3 linked regions of the Arabidopsis thaliana genome follow. The protein of the gene in region 2 interacts with the protein of the main gene of each other region in a pairwise test. Each region holds a gene or a part of one and is shown on either strand. Other genes may lie near its edges.

Region 1 (6,104 bases), on a different chromosome or scaffold from region 2:
ATGGAATTATTCTTTAATTATTTTTTCGTCGGCATAGTTTTTGCTATATATCTTCCACTTGCTGGAATTATATTAATGTGTTATCTAAAGTTCGCAGCATAAATTATTGTTGTTGTTACTGTTTATCGTTAATACTTTTTCTTGCTTTATTATTAGTAGGGCTACTTTGCTAAATAAAGAAAAAAAAATAGAAGTTTAACTCGTAAAAATGATTAAGTGGTAGTCGTAAATAAGTGATTCATAATGTAAAATTAATATATAGTGTCAAAAAAAAAACATGCTATTTATTTTTGACTTCTGCATGACTATTAGCACACACAAGAATATATATTATATAGAAATGTCGTCATTCCACTAGCTATAATATATACATTTTTGATTTTTTTACTAAATAGATCATATATTTTCGTAAAATACTAATTTTCTAAGGAGCTGATCTAGTTTAGTGGTCATACGAGGACCACTTACCTCATCAGCTCAACCCACTAATATTGAGTTTGTACCAGTTTGACAAAAAAAATACTTAACTTTTCAGAAAATAAAATGGAATTAGTTATTTTCATAATTACATTTTCAGTTAATAAAACTAGGATAACAAAAACTTGAGTTTTCTTTTTCTTCTTCTGAAAGTTATGACCTACGTAGCTAGGTTTTAGTTTACAGTCGTGGTTAACTTAGAGACTCTTTGATCATCAATCAGTTAAGACCAATGCTTCTTTAAGCCATTTAGTTTATTCTTGATGATAAAAGTACGTAACATCATTTTTAAAAAATTGTGGTGAGTGAGTAAAAGTCACGATACAAAGAAAAATATTCATAGTTTGAAAAGAACGTAAAGTAGAGATGAAATGTGAATACGATTATATATATTGTTTACATAGTTAATGTATAGGCCTTTCTTTCTTTATATAGGATTGTAAAGCTCTTTACACCGCTTTATTTATAACAAAAATAGAAATGAGCAAATAATTACGTCGAATAAGCACTAATTCCATTAAAGTGGGAGCTAGTAAGCACCAAGCACACTAGTTCAACTCGTATCAATTTATTGTATTTAAATCAGTAGTTAAAACTTGTTTAATTTCCTCATTGAGAAAGATTTGCCCACTTTAGTTAAGTCTTATCCCAAATAGCACTTTAGTTAAGTCTTTATCCCAAATAACTTGTTTACTTTTACTTTTCTATTAAAATTATGAATAGTACTGAATTCACTATTTAAATAAAGGCACTATGAAATAAAAAGAACTCCATAAAAAATGCATTAATTATTTTATATTTCTTAAATATAGACAAACTTTATAGAATTAATGGCTACAATAAATATTACGTTGAAAATGTCGTTTTAATATTTCTCCATCTTTTTTACATAATATTTATATGAATTTAAATTTGAATGTCGATACAACGATAACACGAAGACGAGAAAATATAACTATTTTCATTAGAATTGACACCAAACATATTTAATCTCTTCATTTTTGTCTTAAAAACAAAAGAACATACTTTCGTGACATAGGTTCATTTAGTACTTGATGGATTTTCGTGCCATTGGTTCATTTACTCGATGCAAGGCACGGTTCCATCGACACAGCAGCAATGTGATTGTCACATGTCGCGTGGTAAGACGAGGGTTGCTAGAGCTTACCAGTAAAAGAAGATACACAAATTTTGGTCTTATCCATTAGGCATACAAATTTAAAATATAATTAATATCTCATATTTTTAATTTTGACAGAACCAATGAAATAAAACACGCGCATTACTGCAGTGAATCCCAATTATAAGGAATCTGATTTGACGTGGATCTTCAAGACACTTCCACGAATTAAACTGCATGTTCTTAAATGCTTACACGTATTACTTCTACAACTCTCTTCTCTACTCCAGATGTCTCCATCTTCCTTTTATATCCGATATCTAAAACGCTCTCAAGTATAGCACAATCCACAACAACAAAAAGTACAAATCTTACTCTTCTTTTCAGCTAGATTTTACTAATCACTCGCCAAGAACAACCAATGGCCGTTCGATCAACCGTAAGTAACCTAAGACGTCGTCGTTTCTCTATGATTCATTTGGTCTTCACGATTTGACTTTTATCATTTTGTGTTTGAAGGGTCACTTGAAAAACGTAGTGCAGAGGTTAAGAACTTACACGAAGGCGACAACCGTACCAAGATCCAAAGCGTATTCTACGGCGGCAACAGAGTATGGTGGCCAGAGAACCGCCACCACAGCGGCAGCAACAAAAGGTGACTTCACACCAGTTTACGTCTCCATAGGATTGATTTCATTGTCAGTAACATTTGGTGTCTACACTGCGTATCTTCATCTACATGAAAACCCTGGCGTACGTGTCAACAAGAAGATGAGAGAGACCGTTCCCGAGATCGAAGATCCAGATAGAGTTCTAAACGAAGCGGACCGGTTCGCTAACAGGTCTTGGTTTAGGAAAATAGCTCACGTTCAAGAGTTTGACAAGCAGGATGTGATCTCTGACCCAATCAGGAAAGACCAGTTTGCTCATAAACCTCGTGCCTTGACGCTTAAGGATGTTGGCGTTGATCCTAAGATATCGGCTGCTGCAGCTCACTAAGTTTTTATGAAGGCTGGTTTATGTGTTTTGTTTTCCATGTTTCTGTCGATAAATAAAACATCTGAAGGAGATCAAAGAGTTTTCAAATGGGTCGGTTAAGGTTTTATCCTGTTTCCTCTTGGATGTATTACAGTGATCAAGCAACTTTTGAGTGTATTTGTGTTGTTTCAACAGCATGTAAATTATCTAATGAAATTTCGGTCGAAGTAATAATACAACTTCGTTTTGCTTCTATTTTCTTCTGGATTAACGATTTTAGTAAAAATACTCATTTGGGAGAAACCAATTTCTTGGGTCTAGGTTTGAATGAGATAAAATGGTTAACTTCCTAACCTTCTAAGAGTGTCCGAGGATTCATTCGCATTCTAATTGGGCCCAGGTCAAGGCCCAGGACCAGGCCCTAGTGGGGTAAAATTTTGCACGCGTCGGTGCTTTGTTTTGGATGACTTGGCGAGAGGTGATAGGGTAGTGTCACGTTGGCGAGCGATATTCATTGGAAGATAACAATCAAAATGACGTTCGTAGGTCTAAGAAATACGAGGACTAAAGAGTAAAGAATATCTCTCTCTCTGATCTACTTAGTACTTACTTAGTAGTTACTTCTCTGTCTTATTTGATTTTGAGTCTCTGTTTTGTCTCTTCTCTTGAGATTGCGATAATGAGAGAACGGATTATTACATTCGTTTCGCTGCTTCTTGTAGCTTTGCTTTCGTTTCCCAGTGTTAGCTACTGTGACGACCAAACGGTGATTGGTCACTTCCTTGAAAAAGTTCCTATTTTAAAGATTTGTTCATCGAATCTCCAGTAACATGGTGTTTTTGTTGTTGTTCAGATCCTGTATGAATCGTTTGACGAGCCTTTTGATGGTCGCTGGGTCGTTTCAGAGAAAGCTGAATACCAAGGTAAAGCCATGTCGTCGTAGTGAATTCGTGTTTTGAATTTTTTGGTTTTCTTTCGTCTGTTGAAGTAAAAACAAGTTAGAATTAGTGTAATGGAAGTTACAATCAAAAGGGGGTCTTAAAGTTTTGGTTTTTATTGGAACAGATTTAGAAATGTTTACTTTTACTATAAGTGGATAAGAAACAGACTTTGTGTGAGCTCTTAAAAGGTTGCTTCTTATTTGAAATCTTTTAGGTGTGTGGAAGCACGAGAAGAGTGAAGGGCATGATGATTATGGACTTCTAGTGAGTGAGAAAGCTAAGAAGTACGGAATAGTTAAAGAGCTTGATGTTGATGAGCCTCTAAACCTTAACGAAGGAACTGTTGTTCTTCAATACGAGGCTCGTTTCCAAGAAGGGCTTGAGTGTGGTGGTGCTTACTTAAAGTATCTTCGTCCTCAAGAAGCTGGATGGGTTCCTCAAGGGTTTGATAATGATTCTCCTTACTCTATCATGTTTGGACCTGATAAGTGTGGTGCTACCAACAAGGTTCATTTCATCTTGAAGCATAAGAATCCCAAGAGTGGCGAGTTTGTTGAGCACCATCTCAAGTTCCCTCCTTCTGTTCCGTTTGACATGCTTTCTCATGTCTACACTGCGGTCTTGAAATCTGATAATGAGGTGAGGATTTTGGTCGATGGTGAGGAGAAGAAGAAGGGTAATTTACTGTCTGCTGAAGACTTTGAGCCTCCGTTGATTCCTTCCAAGACCATCCCTGATCCAGAGGACAAGAAGCCAGAAGACTGGGATGAGAGAGCCAAGATTCCTGATCCTAATGCTGTGAAGCCTGATGACTGGGATGAGGATGCACCCATGGAGATTGAAGATGAGGAAGCTGAGAAACCCGAAGGATGGTTGGATGATGAGCCTGTAGAGGTTGAAGACCCCGAGGCAAGCAAGCCAGAAGATTGGGATGACGAGGAAGATGGTGAGTGGGAGGCTCCTAAGGTTTCCAACACCAAGTGTGAGGCAGCACCCGGATGTGGCGAATGGAAGAGACCGATGAAGAGGAACCCTGCTTACAAGGGCAAATGGAGCTCACCTCTCATAGATAACCCAGCTTACAAGGGAATCTGGAAACCAAGAGACATTCCAAATCCTGATTATTTTGAGCTTGAGAGGCCGAATTTGGAGCCCATTGCTGCCATTGGTATTGAGATATGGACAATGCAAGACGGTATCTTATTTGACAACATCTTGATATCTAAAGACGAGAAGGTTGCTGAAACTTACAGACAAAGCACTTGGAAGCCCAAGTTTGATGTGGAGAAAGAGAAACAAAAGGCAGAGGATGAAGCTGCTGGTGAGGCAGATGGTCTCAAGAGTTACCAGGTATATTGATTTTCGCCACAAATTTGGAATGCTTATACATATCCTTTGTACTTATATTATGTATGTGCATTACTGCAGAAGAAGGTGTTCGACCTCTTGTACAAGGTTGCAGACATTTCTTTCCTTAGTGCGTACAAGTCAAAGATTATGGTAAGTTCTCATTTTCAGACTTTAGAAACATATTGTATAATGAAGAATCTTAAATGAGAATTTGCAATTTTCGTTTGTAGGAACTTATTGAGAAAGCTGAAACACAGCCAAACTTAACCATCGGTGTGCTCATTTCCATCGTGATCGTCTTCCTCTCTCTCTTCTTCAAGCTCATATTTGGTGGTGCAAAGGTAAAAAAAAAACATGTCAGTGAGATGTAATGTTTTGGTTGGCGGGTGTTTGAGTCTTAACGAAATTCTTGGTATGTATGTAGGCTAAGGTAGAAAAGAAGAAACCGGAAACAGCTGCAGAGACCTCGACAAGCGAGGCAAAGACAGAGGAGAAAGCAGAAGCGGTGGCTGCACCACGAAAGAGGCAGACGAGGCGTGAGAGTTAGATAAAAAGAGGATTAGATTTTGATTTTTGGGGCTTTTTGTTTTGATTTATCACCGTATAGACAAACAGTAGTGGACCTGATATTAAGACGATTATTGTAACATGTTTTTTTTGTATGCTTTTAGTTTCACATGAATCTGAATGTGGATCACAACATTTATGAGTTGAAATTTGATAAGTAATGGGTTGTGTACATCACATGCATCAGCATTATCAGTTTATCGTCTTTAGCTCGAGTGTTTACAACAAAATCTTAGCTTCGAGATTTAGACTTCTCTACCAAAGGGTCTTGATAGCCATGGCACGAGACTCGTATGATATACTAACCACAGTTAGGTCTGTTTGCAGAATGGATTCTTTGACAGAGCACGAGCTTCAGCAGCCAGAAGAGCATCATAAAGGTTTGATCGCTCTTCAAAATCTGTGTGTCTAACCACATTTCCAAAACCACGGGCAAGAACGAGCTCAGCACTATTCACCAGCTGGCTGACTGCCAGCAGATGATGCAGTCACTTCATCAGAAAATAAGACCAAAGTTGCTCCAACGACCATATCCTTCCTGCTTAGTCTCTGCTCTTTTTTTGTTCTTTCTAATGTCAGTGTAACATAAATAAGACGGCTTAAGGAATGGAAAGATAAGTTGGACCAGAAAACACACAAAAACTGTAAGCATGGTTCAAACTTCCCCTTAT
Region 2 (9,244 bases):
CCTTTATAAACATTTTATTTTTTTTCAACCGAAGAATTAAAATAAAATTTTAGTTTCAACTTTCCTTTCAAATGGAATTAGGATTCACCTCTAGATCAACCCCACTTAGTAATGGTAACGGTGGGGCATTTTAGCTTAACCATATCCATATCTCTGTCATAGCATATGATATGACTTGCAACTATAAACTCCAAATTCACGTGCATAATATAAACGACACTTTATGACATGTGGACTCACAATCTCCATATTCACGTGCATTTACGTACACACATGACATGAGCATAGTTCCATATACATTTGGAAAATAAGACAGCAAATATTATTGGGTCAGCGAATCCTGCAATTTGCATCTACCAAGAATACTATTCATCACTTATACTTTAGGGCCACCGGATTAGATCAATCGGTGCCCATTTCAAGCCCAATCCACTCGTCTTTTGTTAGATTTTTTTTCCTTTTTTATATATATATATATTTGGGTTTGCTCAAACATTAATAATTGATTGAAGTTAATTTTAAAATTTAGAAATTGGACTTGCTGTTTTATTTAGAAAATCCACAACTGAATGAGTTCTAACATGTACAAGATTCACCAAAACTTTGTCTTATCCTGTCAAATGGTTAGTCTTGCGGATATGATGCTAATTTCATGTTTTAAGTTATTTCAATTTTTCAAATATACTTTTTTCTTATCAATAAATTTACCATCAAAAAAGAAATAAATTTACCATCAAAAAAGAAAAAAAATTGACCAAAGAAAAAAAAAAATTGACCAAGAAAAAAAGGTTATTTGTTTTTCTATTAATTTTCTATAATTGGATCGGATCTCAGGGATTCGGATCCCAATTTGTACCCGTTTCAGTTTCACGAACTCTGTCATCGTTTATAAATGTAAAAAAAATCTCAAACTTTCTCTTTCTTGACTCTCTCTCCTAAAAATGTCTCGATTGCTCTCAAAAACCCTAATTCCCAACGGAAGATTCCTCCTCCGTCGTTTCAACGAGCCGGCGATTACGACACCACCAAACGTCGTCTGTTTCAGCCGCCGCTTTTCATCCATCCCACAAGTCATCGAGCTTGAAATCGATTCTAAAAACGAAGCGGAAGCAGCAATTCTCAAAAAGCTAAACGAATTCGTACGAAGGATCATCGTTCATAATTCGACTCCAGATTGGCTTCCTTTTGCACCTGGCTCTTCCTTTTGGGTACCTCCTCATCAGATTACGGCTACAAAGATCGCCAATTTGGTCGATAAGGTGACTAATCCGTTGACGGAGGAAGAGTCTCTTTCGCTTTCGTCTCCTTATGGTTGGCCTTGTTCCTCTTTCTTCATTCCTCCTCCAGGTAATTGCTCTGATGGGTCTTACTTGTTTTTTGGTTCTGCTTGTTAAAAAAGATTCCTTTTGAGATTTTCCTCAATGTTAAACCCAATTCATGAGACAAAGTTGAGATTTTGTTGGGTTACTTAGGGAAGAGAATATTTGAACATTATTATCTACATGAACATTTAGAGCAATACTAGAGCTGATTTGTTTTGATGTTTGTGTCTCGTTTTCGAAAGATATGGTTGAGTCGTTGTTAGGGTTATTTGCTGATATCTGTGGTGATATGTTTGTGTATGTCTATGAAAATGTTAAGATGGTTCCTCATCTACACAAGAGGAAGAAGCTAGCGTGGAGTTGAAAATCCCGGGGAATGAGATGTTGGAAGTGAAGCTAGCACATTATCCAGATCCTATTTACTCTTTTAAACCTGAAGATGGTGAAGAGTGATTCGATACCTTTTCCAGCACGAGAGAGCAGGTAATGACAATGTAAAGAAATTTTTTTACAAGTTGATTATAGATTTGAAGTAGCAATGAAATGTGTTCCTGACAAATACCTTGGATGTACAGGACAGGATTGGAAAAAACAGATGACGATCGAAACTCAAGCAGTTTGTACATACAGTTGAAAACCATGGGAGTTATATGATCTTTGGGTGACTTTATACACCTTGTTTACTATGTTTTATAATTGACTTAATATAATTAGCTTGGGGGCTTCTTCCACTTGCCAGAGTTTATGGTGATGCTCGGGTAACTTGACAATTTCATTTATAATGACAATTCTTCCCTTTGACACTTGACCTAAGTGCATATAAATAATGTCTTGGCATACATATTATTCAGCAACCATTTGCAAGTAAGATTAATGTATTTATTGAGACACAAAAGCAAATTGAATACAAATTTATTCTTCTTTTTCTACTCTGAAGAAATTCACTACCTTGCTCGAGGAACCATCTCGGTGTCTAGATTCACTGTAAGCATTTTCGTCGAGTCATCGTAGTTTTCCTGATCAGTCACTATGCCATAAACAATCTGTTTCAGCTCCATAACGACCTGACTCATCGTTGGCCTCTGCGCAGAAGTGTGCTCGGTACAAGCAAGAGCGATCTCTGACATTTTCCAAGCCGAGCCAACGTCATATCTCTCTCTTAGACGCTGATCCACGATTCCTCTAATGTCTCCGTTGGCTAATATTGACCTGACATGATCACTTATATGCACCTTCTCTGTTTTTGAGCTTGCAATAGCAGGTTGGCCTGTAATCACTTCAAGAAGAACAACCCCAAGACTATAAACATCACTCTTTTCGTTCATTTGGCGAGTCGAATAGTACCTGTAGTTTCAATAATATGTGTCACCCTAGATGAAACATTTGTATTCTTTAGTTTGGAGAAATAGTAATTAAGAAGGTTTTTATTACTTACTCGGGGTCAAGGTAACCGATGGATCCAGCGACAACTGTTGAAATCTGACCGCTTCCTTCAACAGAGAAGCTTCTAGATAACCCGAAGTCCGCCATCTTCGCTTGGAGCTTCTCGTTTAGTAAGATGTTTGTTGGCTTCACATCTCTGTGAACTATAGGAGGCTTACAACCATTGTGAAGATACTCTAGTCCTGAATTTGTTTTATAGACAAGAAAACACACACTTCATTGATTGATTTTCGCATGTTAGATTTAGTTAAATGTAATTTCAAGATGGGACTTCCCGAACCTTGCGCTGCATCTAATGATATCTTCAACCTCTCTTCCCAGCTCAAGATAAATGACCTTTTACCTTCACAAAATGAAACAAAACCAAAGTTCCTTTCTCAGTACATTATGAACATAAGATTAGTGAACAAAAGAAGAATCATTAATTAACCTGCCAAATAGTCTCCTAAGTTCTCATTAGCCATATACTCATAGATAAGCACCATGTGGTTTATTTCGTTGCAATATCCAACAAGAGAAGTCAGGTTCGTGTGATGAACTCTCATGAGAAGGTCAACCTGCGATTCTCAACTAGATTAGTTAGGTGAAAAAGTTTGAGATAAATTAAGATTAAGTCCTTGAAAGGTACGCAAAAAAAACCTCTGCTCGAAACTCTTTGTAGCCTTGAGCTGATTCTTCAGAGAGTACCTTGACAGCAACTTGTTCTCCATTTATGACACCATGGTATACTTTACCAAAACCTCCTTTGCCAATAACTCTCTCAAAGTTATTTGTGATATTCACAACTTCTGAGTACTTAAAGTATCGCTTTGCAGTTTTCAACGGCCCATTCCTCTCACCAAGTGTACCTATAAGAACCTCGTTTAGTTACTTTCTTTATTGGCAGAAATTTGTTTTTAGTATCATACCTCTTTGTTGTTTTTTCTTGAAACGCCGGAACAAAGCTAAAGCCGTCAAAAGAACGACGATGATTCCTACGACTACTAATGGAATGATGTATCCATTCTTGTTCTTCTTCTTTGTGTTTGAACAGGAATCAGAGAGACAAAGGTCCGGATTTCTACCAAATCTATAAAGTTACAATGTAGACATGTTAGGAATGAATCTTGTCAAAGCGCATTGCGGAATTATCGGTTCTAAATCACATTCAAAGAGGAAGAACTAAACTAAAATTAATAAAAGGTAGCTTTTACGAGTCGCAAACCTTAAGGAAAGAGATCCATTCTTTGATCTTTCATGCAATCTTTGTGGAACTATGCCCGTTAACTTGTTTCCTTCAACGTTTCTGCATATACGAATCCACATCAACTCGTAAATTCAAAGATATCTTTTGCTTCACTGATCAAGTGAAATATTTGCTCTAGTTGATATGACTCACAATTCGGTCAAGTTTGGTAAGTTAGCGAGGAAAGCAGGTATTTCTCCTGTTAAAGTATTACCGGATAAATCTCTGTAATGAAAAATGATTGTGTTAGTAAGGAACTCTGTGTATCACAGAGTGTCAGTGATTATTACATGAAAAAAAATACCGACAATTTTCTTATAGATGTAAGGTTGGAGAAGGCTGGATCTATCTGGCCTCTTAATTCACTAAAAGATATATTTCTGCCAAATAGAGATGTTTAGGACAAAACAAAAACAGAGCAAAACAGAGCACAACAGAACAAAGCAGAGTAAAACAGAACAGATATCTATAAATTTAAACACTAACTTACAGTGAAACGACTCTAGGATTAGTAGTGTTATCACTTTGGATACAGTCAATACCTTCCCAAGAATAATCTACGGGAACACAAGGATCTCCTTGCCAGTTCTTCTTCACTCTATACGTGGCTTTAATCTTCCTCATGGCATCAACTATAAGAGCATATAAACGAAATCAGACATAACCGAAAAAAACTTCGGAGGAAGTTTGTACCATATAAAAAAAGCCTTAATTACCATCCTGTGGATGAGTTGGGATCTGAAGGAACTCATTGACTTGATAGACCTCAAGGGCGTTAATGATCGGTGGAAGTACAAATTCACCAGGTGGTTGAAGAAGAGAGAAGTTAATGGTAATTCCGCTCACGGGATCCGGTGTAACGAATGTGTCGGTAAGCAAGTACCGAAGCTTAAACGAAGGAGAGATTACATCCTCATTTAGCCAGATGCTGAATTCTCTCGTCTGGTTGCTTTTCAGTACTTCAATTTCAGCAAAGTGCATGTATACATAAAACTTTGCGTTAGGGTCGGGCGGTCTGAAACTAAGCGTTAGGTAGAGGCTCTCGTTTCGCGCTGTTTCTGCAGTGCTCATGACAGTAGAAGCCGGTTGGTAGCCATTGTTAAGAAATTGATCGACAGTGAGAGATGTATTTAATATCTTGTATTCTGAACTCACTATACGCGGTGTCCATATACGGTCATATATGTCATCTTTGTACCTACACAAATGTGTATGAGAAACTGCAAAAACAAAAAAGTTTCCTTGTAAAATAATCAAAGTTTCTTGTTAAGGCTCACCTCGATGGAAGTTTTCCCGTTTTGCTGTAATCTAATCTCCGAAGGAGGGTAAGTGCATCGTAAGGAGTCTCATAAGTAGTGTTCAACAAGAGCCGTATCTCCAAGACAGACAAAAATGGAGTTCCTGCGTTCTTATCAACAACACACACTTGAACATTGTCTAAAAGTGGAATGGTGATTATCTCTTTGTTGAGTATAGTTGTTGCATCGTCGAGTTTAACAGAGTCCCAAAAGTTTACTCCTAGATAGAGATCGAACTCGGGTACTCTTCCAAGATCATCATAGTTCCCGTACATGAAACGAGTTCTGATTAGATACTTAAAACCTTTGCCTCTCGGCGTCGGAACATCGTAACAGCTTCTCTTGCTTTGAGGGAAACTTCTCACGTTCAACAAGTGTCTATCAAAACCACTTGATTGAAACTGAGCTGCAATTCTCTTTGTTGTTCCTGAATCAACAAACGCCGAATCCGAAACATACTTTATACCTGTAGTCTCATCGTTGTAGCTAGAATCATCCGGTATCCCGCAATCTATACTTATGAAACCTGTAACACTCAGAGAATGAGAGAAAAGAAGATACGATTGATGTATGGAAGCTTGGTTTGCTTCAAGATAAATACTAAGGGAGAGTAGTTTTCTGGGAAAATTGTATGCAAATTCTTAACTAAACGATGCACTTGATGTAAAAACGTATTTTAGCATCTGAATATTAAACAAAGCCAAGACTGTTTTAAATTACCAGATTGATCTTGAGCATGAACAAGAAAGAACAGAAGAGCAAAGCTTGTGAATAAAATCGATGAAAGAGATTTTAACATCGCCATTTACTTAATTGAGCTGCTTTCTCTGGGCTAGAGCAATGAGCAACTGTTTTATAATTAAAAAAAAAAAAACATTTGGTCAATAAGATGTTGATAGTCAACCAACCATCTTCTAAGGTTATTAGTGTTACGCAACTTTAAGAATGTTCGGACCAGGACGTAATATATGTCAACGCTTACTCTCATTAACATTATTTCTACTTATTGCATATTTGCATGGTTTTTCCTTGGCAAATGATTACCTTTAATTCTCTGCAAAATTTAATTAAAAGTATATTTGAGTCTAATAAAGCGAATGAAACTATATGCATAAAAAAACGAGACTTAAAATCTATTTTTAACTATTATTTACAACGTTGCCAAAAAAAAAAACTAGTATTTTTCAAATGTTTGACAAGAAAAGGTTCATTTTAATAAATGGTCAAAACACATCTAATTTCCTTTTGAGTTTATTACTATATATGCTATAACACCACATCACAAATGTAAAGAGACCAACACTGATATAAAAAATCTCACAACTCCCAATAGTTTGTATATTTTTTTAGGAATCAGTTGAATATCAATGTGTTACGGTGAATTTTTTTATTTAATATAGTCAAGGTACTTGACAATAATTTGCAAAACCACATTGGTAGGTGACCGGACACGTTTAGATCTTTTTATTAGTCATCACTTTCAAGTTTCAACGATGTGTTTTTCTTTTAAAACCCGATGATCCGCTTTCAACGATACAATATGTTCTTTTAATAATATATATATTGGTCAACTAGTAATTAAGTCAATAATTTTTTTATTTTTTTTTGTCGACTTCTAAGTCAATGAATATATATTCTTAGTTTCATTGCCATCCACAAAATAATCAAAGAGATATATATTCTTCAGATATTTATTTAACAAAAGAGACTATTCTGATATTAATGTATGATCATACAATTTTGGACTCCTTTTCTTTTTTTGTTTCTGAATTCGGTTTATGAAGATTACTTTAGAATACTAGCTTCGTAAGACAGGTCTAGAAGGTAAATCTTTCCAACCTGCAATCACTAACCAAATAGTTGTCATTTCGTTTAGATCAAAGATCGACTTTTAGTTGGATATCAAATTTGGTCACTATGTAATATTGGAATTCACATGGCGAATACAGTCATACAGATTGAGGTATGATCCTAAGGTCGAATGACCGAAAGAAAATGCAATAACTAGGAATACTGCCCTAATAAGCGTCCCTAATACTTTTCAACATATCAAATCTTCTTCTTTTTTTTGTTGTTGATAAAAAGGCGTTTAATTTAAATTAGAATAACTAATACCTTGCTATGACTTTTTATGGTCAAACAGTTTTAAGGAAGTAATTTGGAGGAGGACTTGACGATAAAAAGATATTCTTAAACCTTTTTTCTTTCCAAATTACTTTCTCAAAATTGTTTGACCATAAAAAGTTTTGGAGATAACCAACCAAAATTATACATAGCTGCGAGGAAGAGGAAGTGAGGAAAAAAAATAAAAATAGCTTACAGGAGATAACTAATTAGTGTTTCCACGACTACCGCGGCTTCTACAACCACAACGTCCACAATAACTCACATTAATCCATATATTATGAACCCTTGGAAACGGTTTTGTACCGGTCTATCTCGCAAAGTCTTATGAGTAGATGAGTCATATCAGATTCTGCTCAGAGATTGGAACTGAGTATCCTTGCTCCAACATTTCGAATCTTTCAAACAGTTTCCAAATTTTTTGGACGGATTGGATTTTTTTGTTGATTTGGTAAACGTTGATGTGATCTTCTGGTCCGATAATTCTAACAAAGGTGCATGAACCTCATCTGAAAAGATGCTTAGTTGACAAATAATATAAATCAAAAGTCTCATATTGACCATATGATTTATATAAGTCGGTATGCATGCATGTATAATTTAAAATATATAAGTTAATGCAAAAAGTTAAAGCTCTCCCTTTGTGAAAAAAAAATCCAAGAAAAAGATGCTTAATTGAAAAGTAGTCTGAAAAAAATATTATAATTATACAAAACTAAATTCTTGAATAGACGATACGGTTTATGTAAACCGACATGATTATATACATGGTTGATGAAAAAAGTGTTTTCTTACGTGAGATTAGTGCCTTTTGCTCTTACCAAACTTCTCATTACCCGGGTCTGCAAGCCAAACATACAAAAAAAAAAAAAAAATCTCATTACGTTATCATTAGAGCAGAAAAATCCATTAAAAACAGTCTAATAATTAAGATTTACTTAGTAGTAATCTGATCAGAACTTGTATGGTCTCAGAAATCACCACCCGATTTCGATCTCTATCTAAGGGAGTCAGGGTTAATCTATATAATCCAAGTATTCTTGAAATTCATCAACGTATTAGTTATGTCTCCACAGAGATTATACACACTCCTTTTGGACCAGTTTCATTTGTGTCTTGTTGGTAAAAAAAAACACAGAGAAATTTCTACTCTTCTTTTTTTTTTTTCTTTTTTTTTTTTTTCTCTTGAAGAGAAAAACTTCTACTCTCATAAGGTATAGAAGAACAAGAACCGAATCTATACGATATATTTTGGTCCCATGATCCTGTATAACGCTTCCTCTTCGATATCGCACCTCCTCTAGCGTTCGCAGTGCATCTGGAAATTACAAGAAAAAGAAGAAGAAAAAGAATTTAGGGTTTAGTTTAAGAAAATAAAACCTAAACCCTAGAGATCATAAACCCTGAAATTTTAATTGAAAGGAGAAGAAGAAAAATAGGAAACTCACCTCGCTTGAACAATGAAGTTCACTGTCAGGGATTCGGGGAACAATGACGGCGGAGTTTTGCGACAATGTATGTTCGACAGCGATTTCTCATTGTCTCCAATTCTCTAATTTAAAAGTTAGGTCCAAAAAAAAAAAAAAGTTAGGTCAAATTGGTATCTTTAAGTTTTTTTTAACACTTTTCGATTTGTAAATGTAATTTCAAATTTTTTTAAAAAACGATATTAAGACTTGAAATTACATATATGACCAATTTATGTAATTTCTTATTTCTAAATATCCAAGAAGTGAGGTATATAAATTGCGTGAAGTGGAGAAACCCTAAATCGCGCCCATGATCCACTCGCTTCCGAAGAGAAGATGAAAAGGGATAAGGTTGAGCGTAAG
Region 3 (5,630 bases), on a different chromosome or scaffold from region 2:
GAGATTATCGTCACTGTTGTGCAGCTGTTTGCAGCGAACCAAAACAAGCCTGCGGATATAGTCAACATTCTGGTGGCCAACAGAAGCAAGCTTCTGAGATTGTTGGCTGATTTGAAACCAGACAAAGGTATGAAACTAATCTTGTTAAGTGAAACGCTTGTATCCGATCCTTCTGCTCCTTAACCTTATTAAAGCATTGTTTGGTTCATTTGGTTGACAGAGGATGAGAGGTTTGAAGCAGACAAAAGTCAGGTTTTGAGAGAAATCGCAGCCCTTGAACCTCGAGATCTTGCTTGAACCAACTAATGCAATTCATCCTTCCTTCCCTTTTAAAACACTCGAAAAGACATTTTTGAAGCATCTTGTTGTTTTTTTACATTAGGTAACCAATCTTCCTCTCACTTTCTCACCACACACACACACACACACACACACACACACACACATACACATACGAGATATCTATTCGATATATGTATTCATATGTACACTACTTCACTGTCGATGAAATAAAATGGTTTGTCAAAAGCTCACATCATGAATGTTGTAAAAGAGCACAAGAGTCTTTCAACTTCAACAACTATTAAACATCAAATGTATTAACTTAATCTCGAAAACAAACAAAAATTAACAACCACAAGCCCATAATGACCAAATAAACCAGAACATTTTACTCTAATCTTTACAGAGTCTACACGTATAGAGACCGACCATCGTTGCCTACTCGTTGACTTGTTTTCGCAGATGCCTCTGCTTTCCCTCTCTTTATGACTACATACCAAGTAAACCCTTCGAGCACAACCGCGACTATACCTAGTACTACGATTATGGCGGTGTAAGCGTTTCTCCACTGCTTCTCAGGGCTCAGGATGTCTAGTCCTTTAAAAACGTTTACCACCGCAAGAATGATCACTGAATAGCCTACAGTGTGGTGATAAATGTTCCAGTAGACTCTGTACTTGTGCTCTGGTTTGGGTCTCAAAAACATTGCAAACACCTAACGTGTGAAACAAGCAACTTAGTAATTGCAACATATTCATGACAAGTGTAATACTCTCTGTACTGTTAACTAAAACCTACCTGAATTGTTGCGAGGCAGAAGAGAGCGATCCCAACAGCACGGTGAAAGGTAAACTGAATCCCGGCTGATTCGTTGCCCAGTTTGAGACCGGTCGCCCAACCGGCAACACCAATGATGTAAGCAGAAGACTGGCAGAAAACATGAAGGTAGAACCAAGCAGGATCTGCTGATTTTGAGACTTTCAAGTAGCGAGCAATGATTGCTCCTATTGGCATCATTATACCCCAGCTCACACCGTTCAATATTCCATGTATCTGCAATAATGATTAGGAGTGATAAGTTTCATAAAACCAACTAACAATGATGGGATTGATAAATCTCATTTCATATGTGAGATTCCTAAAAAACATGAAATGAAGAAATTGATAAAACCATGGACTCACGTTGCGTTTGCGTAGCTTGGAAGCTCCTCCTGCTCCGGTAGAGGTGGATCCAGATGCACCAGAGACAAGGTTAAGAGTAGAAACAGAACGAACATTGTTGCCAGAAGTTGGATGAGGCAGAGGATTGTTCCCTGACAGTGACCCATCTTGCCACACAGTGTTAATGATTCCACCATTCGCAAGTGGAAGATTCAGAATTGCGTAGATGACCATCTCGTTGTTTTGGTAAGTGGCAGACAACTGAGAGACGTTGAAACTCAGCTCAGCTTCTAGGAGACTCGTTTGGTAGCTACTGATGGGTGACGTATAAGCCCTAACGGTGCCGTCTGATTGTGGATAAGCCACAATGGCTTGAGCTCCGACCATGCCAGTAGATGTGGGATTCACGGCCCATGCCACCCATTTCCCGGGGGTGAGCTTTGTGTGGCGATACGCGATTTGGAGATTGCCTGAAGAAGAATCGTAAGTGTAGTGGAGGAAGGAATCAAGAACAGGTAGGTCGTTGCAAGACTCAAAGAGACGGTTGGTGGAGAATTTGTAGTTGGAACATTTCTGAGCCAAGGCGGATTTGGTGATGATGAAAATGAAAAGAGAGAGACAAAGGAGAAGATTTGAGGATATGGCCATGGAAACAGAATCTCGAGTAATGATTAAAAGATGGATGAATGATAAGATTTAAGTATGAAGGGGAAGAGAGGAGAATGAGATTAAGTATGAATAGAAAGTGGAACAAGTAGGGTTTGGTTTGTTAGTTAATCTGTCTTAATACAGAATCTCTAATTCTCTTCACACGTGTCCTTTTTTCATAGTTTAATCTTTCTTTTAATCCTCTGCTTTTGTTCTTGTTCATCTATCAATTGCAATGTTTTACCTAAGAGTAAAAAATAGAAACATTATAAATGAAGCGTTCATTGTTTTCCCAAAAAGGTTTGACGTGTAATGTATTTCTTCCTTAAGAGTCTTTAACCCTCTCAAGCAAAAACCAAGAAATAAAAATATGAAGGGGTCATCTTCACGTTCAAAAACCAGTTCACACCAACTTTATTACGAGAACTCATTTCTCGTGTTTATTTTTTCTTTGTTTGTCATGAAAAATCTTTTTCATTGTATATAGGTTTTGTCATGACATTGCGCGTTAAGTTAGATTATAATCTTGGTACGCTTGGGAATTGGGATGATGATAAATTATTGAGCACACTAAAATATTAGGTTTCATTGGGTTTAGTGGTTCAATTGACGAAAGTAGACTAGCGAAGGGAGTAGTGGTTTTCGCGTAATAAAGGGCAAACACGTCTATGCCTGCAACTACTAACGTTGTGCATGTATGATGTACCCTAAGTAAACATCTACCACCTTATGAGTATGGACTGGAGCGGACCAGACCAACAAACTGTTTATGAGAGATTCCAATCCAAGGGAAGTGGTTGGGTTTAGCTATTTTTAGAGTTATGTTCTTCTATATATAGGCCGCGACCAACATTTCAACGGTTAAGACCATGTACATGAGTGATATTTTTAGAATATCATCAGTGTAAAAATTATTTTTTTATTAACCAAACAATTAGAATGAGTTTGATTAGTATCATTCCAGTGATTTTCTTGATATCAGTATCATCTACGTGACATCTCCTGATTGGTAGCATTTATTAAAAGTAAGAAAAAAAATATTTATCTATTAAACAAACATTATAAATAATACTAAAATTTTTTTAATGATACTTTGAGAATATCACCTATAAGCATGCTCTAACCAGGTGGATGTATAATAATGTCCTTTCTTGGTCAACGCTCAAATTACTACCTGCCACATGTCCCCCACTAGATTCTTTGGTGTAGCTGGGCTCAGTTTGAACTAGACTCTTTTATATGGGCTTAAGTGTTAATTATCAAAAAACAACCCAAAATGAGATATTTAGATATAATATGTTTTTGATGGAAAAAAAGGAAAGATATAATATGTTTTTTTGATGAATGAAAAGTATTACAATTATTCAAAAAATCACTAGTTTCCTGAAAAACAATACAAATTGCATAGTTTCAGAAGGATAATCTGATTTGGGTAGAGTTTGTTGATGTTAGAAATATAAATATTTTCTTTTATAAATAAAATAGGATGGAAAATCCATCATATTTGAAAGTTTTGTTGTGTCTAATAAATAACAGTAGAGTGTACATAATCGGTAACTTTTTTTTCCTTAACTAAAATTTTAAGTGAAACTAAAACAAAGGTGGTAAAAAAAAGTAGAGCCTATGGTAAAATAGGGTAAGAGGGTCCATAAGGGCCCAAGATGTTTTATTTTTGCTGAGCCCATTATTACCAATCCGAACCGAAATGGAAAAACTCCGGTCTCTTTCTTTCTCTCTCTCTCTGCCAGAGTTACTGCGTGTCTTTGATTTCCCAGAAGAAGGCGTTGAATCCTTTCGTTTTCCGATTCCATTTTTGGGATCTCTTGTTTCGTTTTCTTCTCTTTGGATCCATTCCATTCCCATGTTCCCCAATTTCTTTAATCGGTGTTGCTTCCACAAGGTAATTTTGTTTTCCTCTGCACTTCCCGAGAATAAAGAGAAGGTTTTTCTCAATTTTCCCCTTATGATTATCCCTGTAAATGCGAGTTTTTTGTCCTGTTTTGTCTAATGGGTCTTCATAATTCGTGATCATCAACGTTTTCTCTGTCTTGTGTGTGTATGTATGTGTGTGATCTTACATCTGACGGGAATGTAATGTGATGATCTCTCATGTAAAATTCTGTTTTTACTTGGTTTGATTGTTTCTATTACAATGCTCTGTTTTTGCTTTAAAGAGTTCTTACAATATCTCCTCCTTCTCTTTTGCGAAAATGGGTTCTTACTTGGGTTTAGTTTCTTAGGTGAAGTTTCGATTATTTTTTTGAATTGGTGTTTTATAAGTTTTGATGTCTCATCATCTTTTTCAGAAAGAAATGTGTGGCCTACTTTCATTTTCTAATGCCGTATATGAAGATTTTCATATTCAGGCAGATATTATAAACCTGCAGCAATCATTAACTCGATTCATCTTTAATGTGAGCCCTAAGGACAAGACTGAGAATTTTCTATCAGTGTTTAAGATTGCACTTTGTGTGATCAAGTGAATGAGTATTGTTGGTTGAATTGGGCCCGCGCTTGTCTTTTCTGTCTCAATTCTGTTTCTCCTTATGATAGAGAGAATATTTCTCTGCTTTCCTATTGGTGGCTTTCATGATTTGTGAATAGTCAGTATCTACCGACTTTAACTTAGATTCTTAGGGTGAGATTATAACTAAAGTTAGCTTTACTTGTTGTATATAGGCTTCATGAGCTTGTATAACAAGTTTCTCTAGGAGGTGTTAAAGAGCCAGATCAAGCTTTCAGAAGAGGTAACTTGTATTGCTGTCTTACTTTGGATCCAGAATGCGTTTATGTGCTGAATACTTTGCTTGTGATAGATTTTCTTAGGGTGGTTGAGAGCTGAAAGTTTTGATATTTAGTCAACTTTGTTCCACTGAACCTTCTAGGAAGCTACCTCAAGTAGACAGGTGATCTTAAAGATTCTCTTGTTTCTCTTAGATCTCAATCTTTACTGTTTCTCAAGTTTCCTATGCCAACTCTACTTATTCTTGTCTTCCCTCTTCCTCACTTTGGCTCTTTGTTTTGTCCTTAGCTTTGTTGACGGGCTTCAAGCCAGTGGTAAAGATATGCTTCTGTAGAAGGGTTAATCTTGAGCATTAAAGGACATGGCTTTCTACTCTGAAGACGACAAGAGCGAAGACTACCTCTTTAAGATTGTTCTAATCGGTGATTCTGCTGTCGGGAAATCAAATTTACTTGCCAGATTTGCGAGGGATGAGTTCTATCCCAATTCAAAGTCGACGATTGGAGTGGAGTTTCAGACACAGAAGATGGATATAAACGGGAAGGAGATCAAAGCACAGATATGGGACACAGCAGGTCAAGAACGTTTTAGAGCAGTCACTTCTGCATATTACCGAGGTGCAGTTGGAGCTCTTCTGGTTTACGATATCAGCAGACGGCAGACTTTTCACAGCATTGGTAGATGGCTCAACGAGCTACACAGTAAGAAACCTCTTATCTTTTCTTATCTGCTACTAAACAATCTCCCATTTGCTAATTGATTCAAGAATAATGAAAGTGAGGGGTGTCTTCATAAA

Evidence for each region. Proteins that work in one complex are often made in the same cells at the same time.
Region 1: the proteins of FRK1 (region 2) and AT5G07340 interact in a protein complementation assay, tested with the Arabidopsis thaliana proteins (one large-scale study listed by BioGRID).
Region 3: the proteins of FRK1 (region 2) and AT5G47530 interact in a protein complementation assay, tested with the Arabidopsis thaliana proteins (one large-scale study listed by BioGRID).

What each region holds. Positions count from the first base shown.
Region 1 is NC_003076.8:2,314,046-2,320,149, forward strand, and holds AT5G07340 (Calreticulin family protein), read left to right. Parts: upstream 1-3,167; 5' UTR 3,168-3,254; coding exon 3,255-3,365; intron 3,366-3,428; coding exon 3,429-3,498; intron 3,499-3,730; coding exon 3,731-4,866; intron 4,867-4,944; coding exon 4,945-5,016; intron 5,017-5,096; coding exon 5,097-5,207; intron 5,208-5,290; coding exon 5,291-5,413; 3' UTR 5,414-5,604; downstream 5,605-6,104. Other genes in the region: AT5G07330 (NFU1 iron-sulfur cluster protein), read left to right, coding at 2,019-2,036, 2,117-2,596; Tudor1 (TUDOR-SN protein 1), read right to left, coding at 5,976-5,998, 6,077-6,104. UniProt on the Arabidopsis thaliana protein: Calcium-binding protein that interacts with newly synthesized monoglucosylated glycoproteins in the endoplasmic reticulum. It may act in assisting protein assembly and/or in the retention within the ER of unassembled protein subunits.
Region 2 is NC_003071.7:8,323,801-8,333,044, forward strand, and holds FRK1 (FLG22-induced receptor-like kinase 1), read right to left. Parts: upstream 6,145-9,244; 5' UTR 6,094-6,144; coding exon 6,009-6,093; intron 5,815-6,008; coding exon 5,268-5,814; intron 5,189-5,267; coding exon 4,707-5,188; intron 4,623-4,706; coding exon 4,481-4,622; intron 4,371-4,480; coding exon 4,299-4,370; intron 4,216-4,298; coding exon 4,144-4,215; intron 4,051-4,143; coding exon 3,970-4,050; intron 3,835-3,969; coding exon 3,674-3,834; intron 3,614-3,673; coding exon 3,405-3,613; intron 3,323-3,404; coding exon 3,196-3,322; intron 3,109-3,195; coding exon 3,046-3,108; intron 2,948-3,045; coding exon 2,758-2,947; intron 2,667-2,757; coding exon 2,267-2,666; 3' UTR 2,249-2,266; downstream 1-2,248. Other genes in the region: AT2G19180 (uncharacterized protein), read left to right, coding at 942-1,347, 1,642-1,775. UniProt on the Arabidopsis thaliana protein: Involved in innate immune response of plants.
Region 3 is NC_003076.8:19,277,932-19,283,561, reverse strand, and holds AT5G47530 (Auxin-responsive family protein), read right to left. Parts: upstream 2,189-5,630; 5' UTR 2,092-2,188; coding exon 1,465-2,091; intron 1,336-1,464; coding exon 1,081-1,335; intron 998-1,080; coding exon 692-997; 3' UTR 501-691; downstream 1-500. Other genes in the region: AT5G47540 (Mo25 family protein), read left to right, coding at 25-127, 221-297; RABA5a (RAB GTPase homolog A5A), read left to right, coding at 5,196-5,535. UniProt on the Arabidopsis thaliana protein: May act as a catecholamine-responsive trans-membrane electron transporter.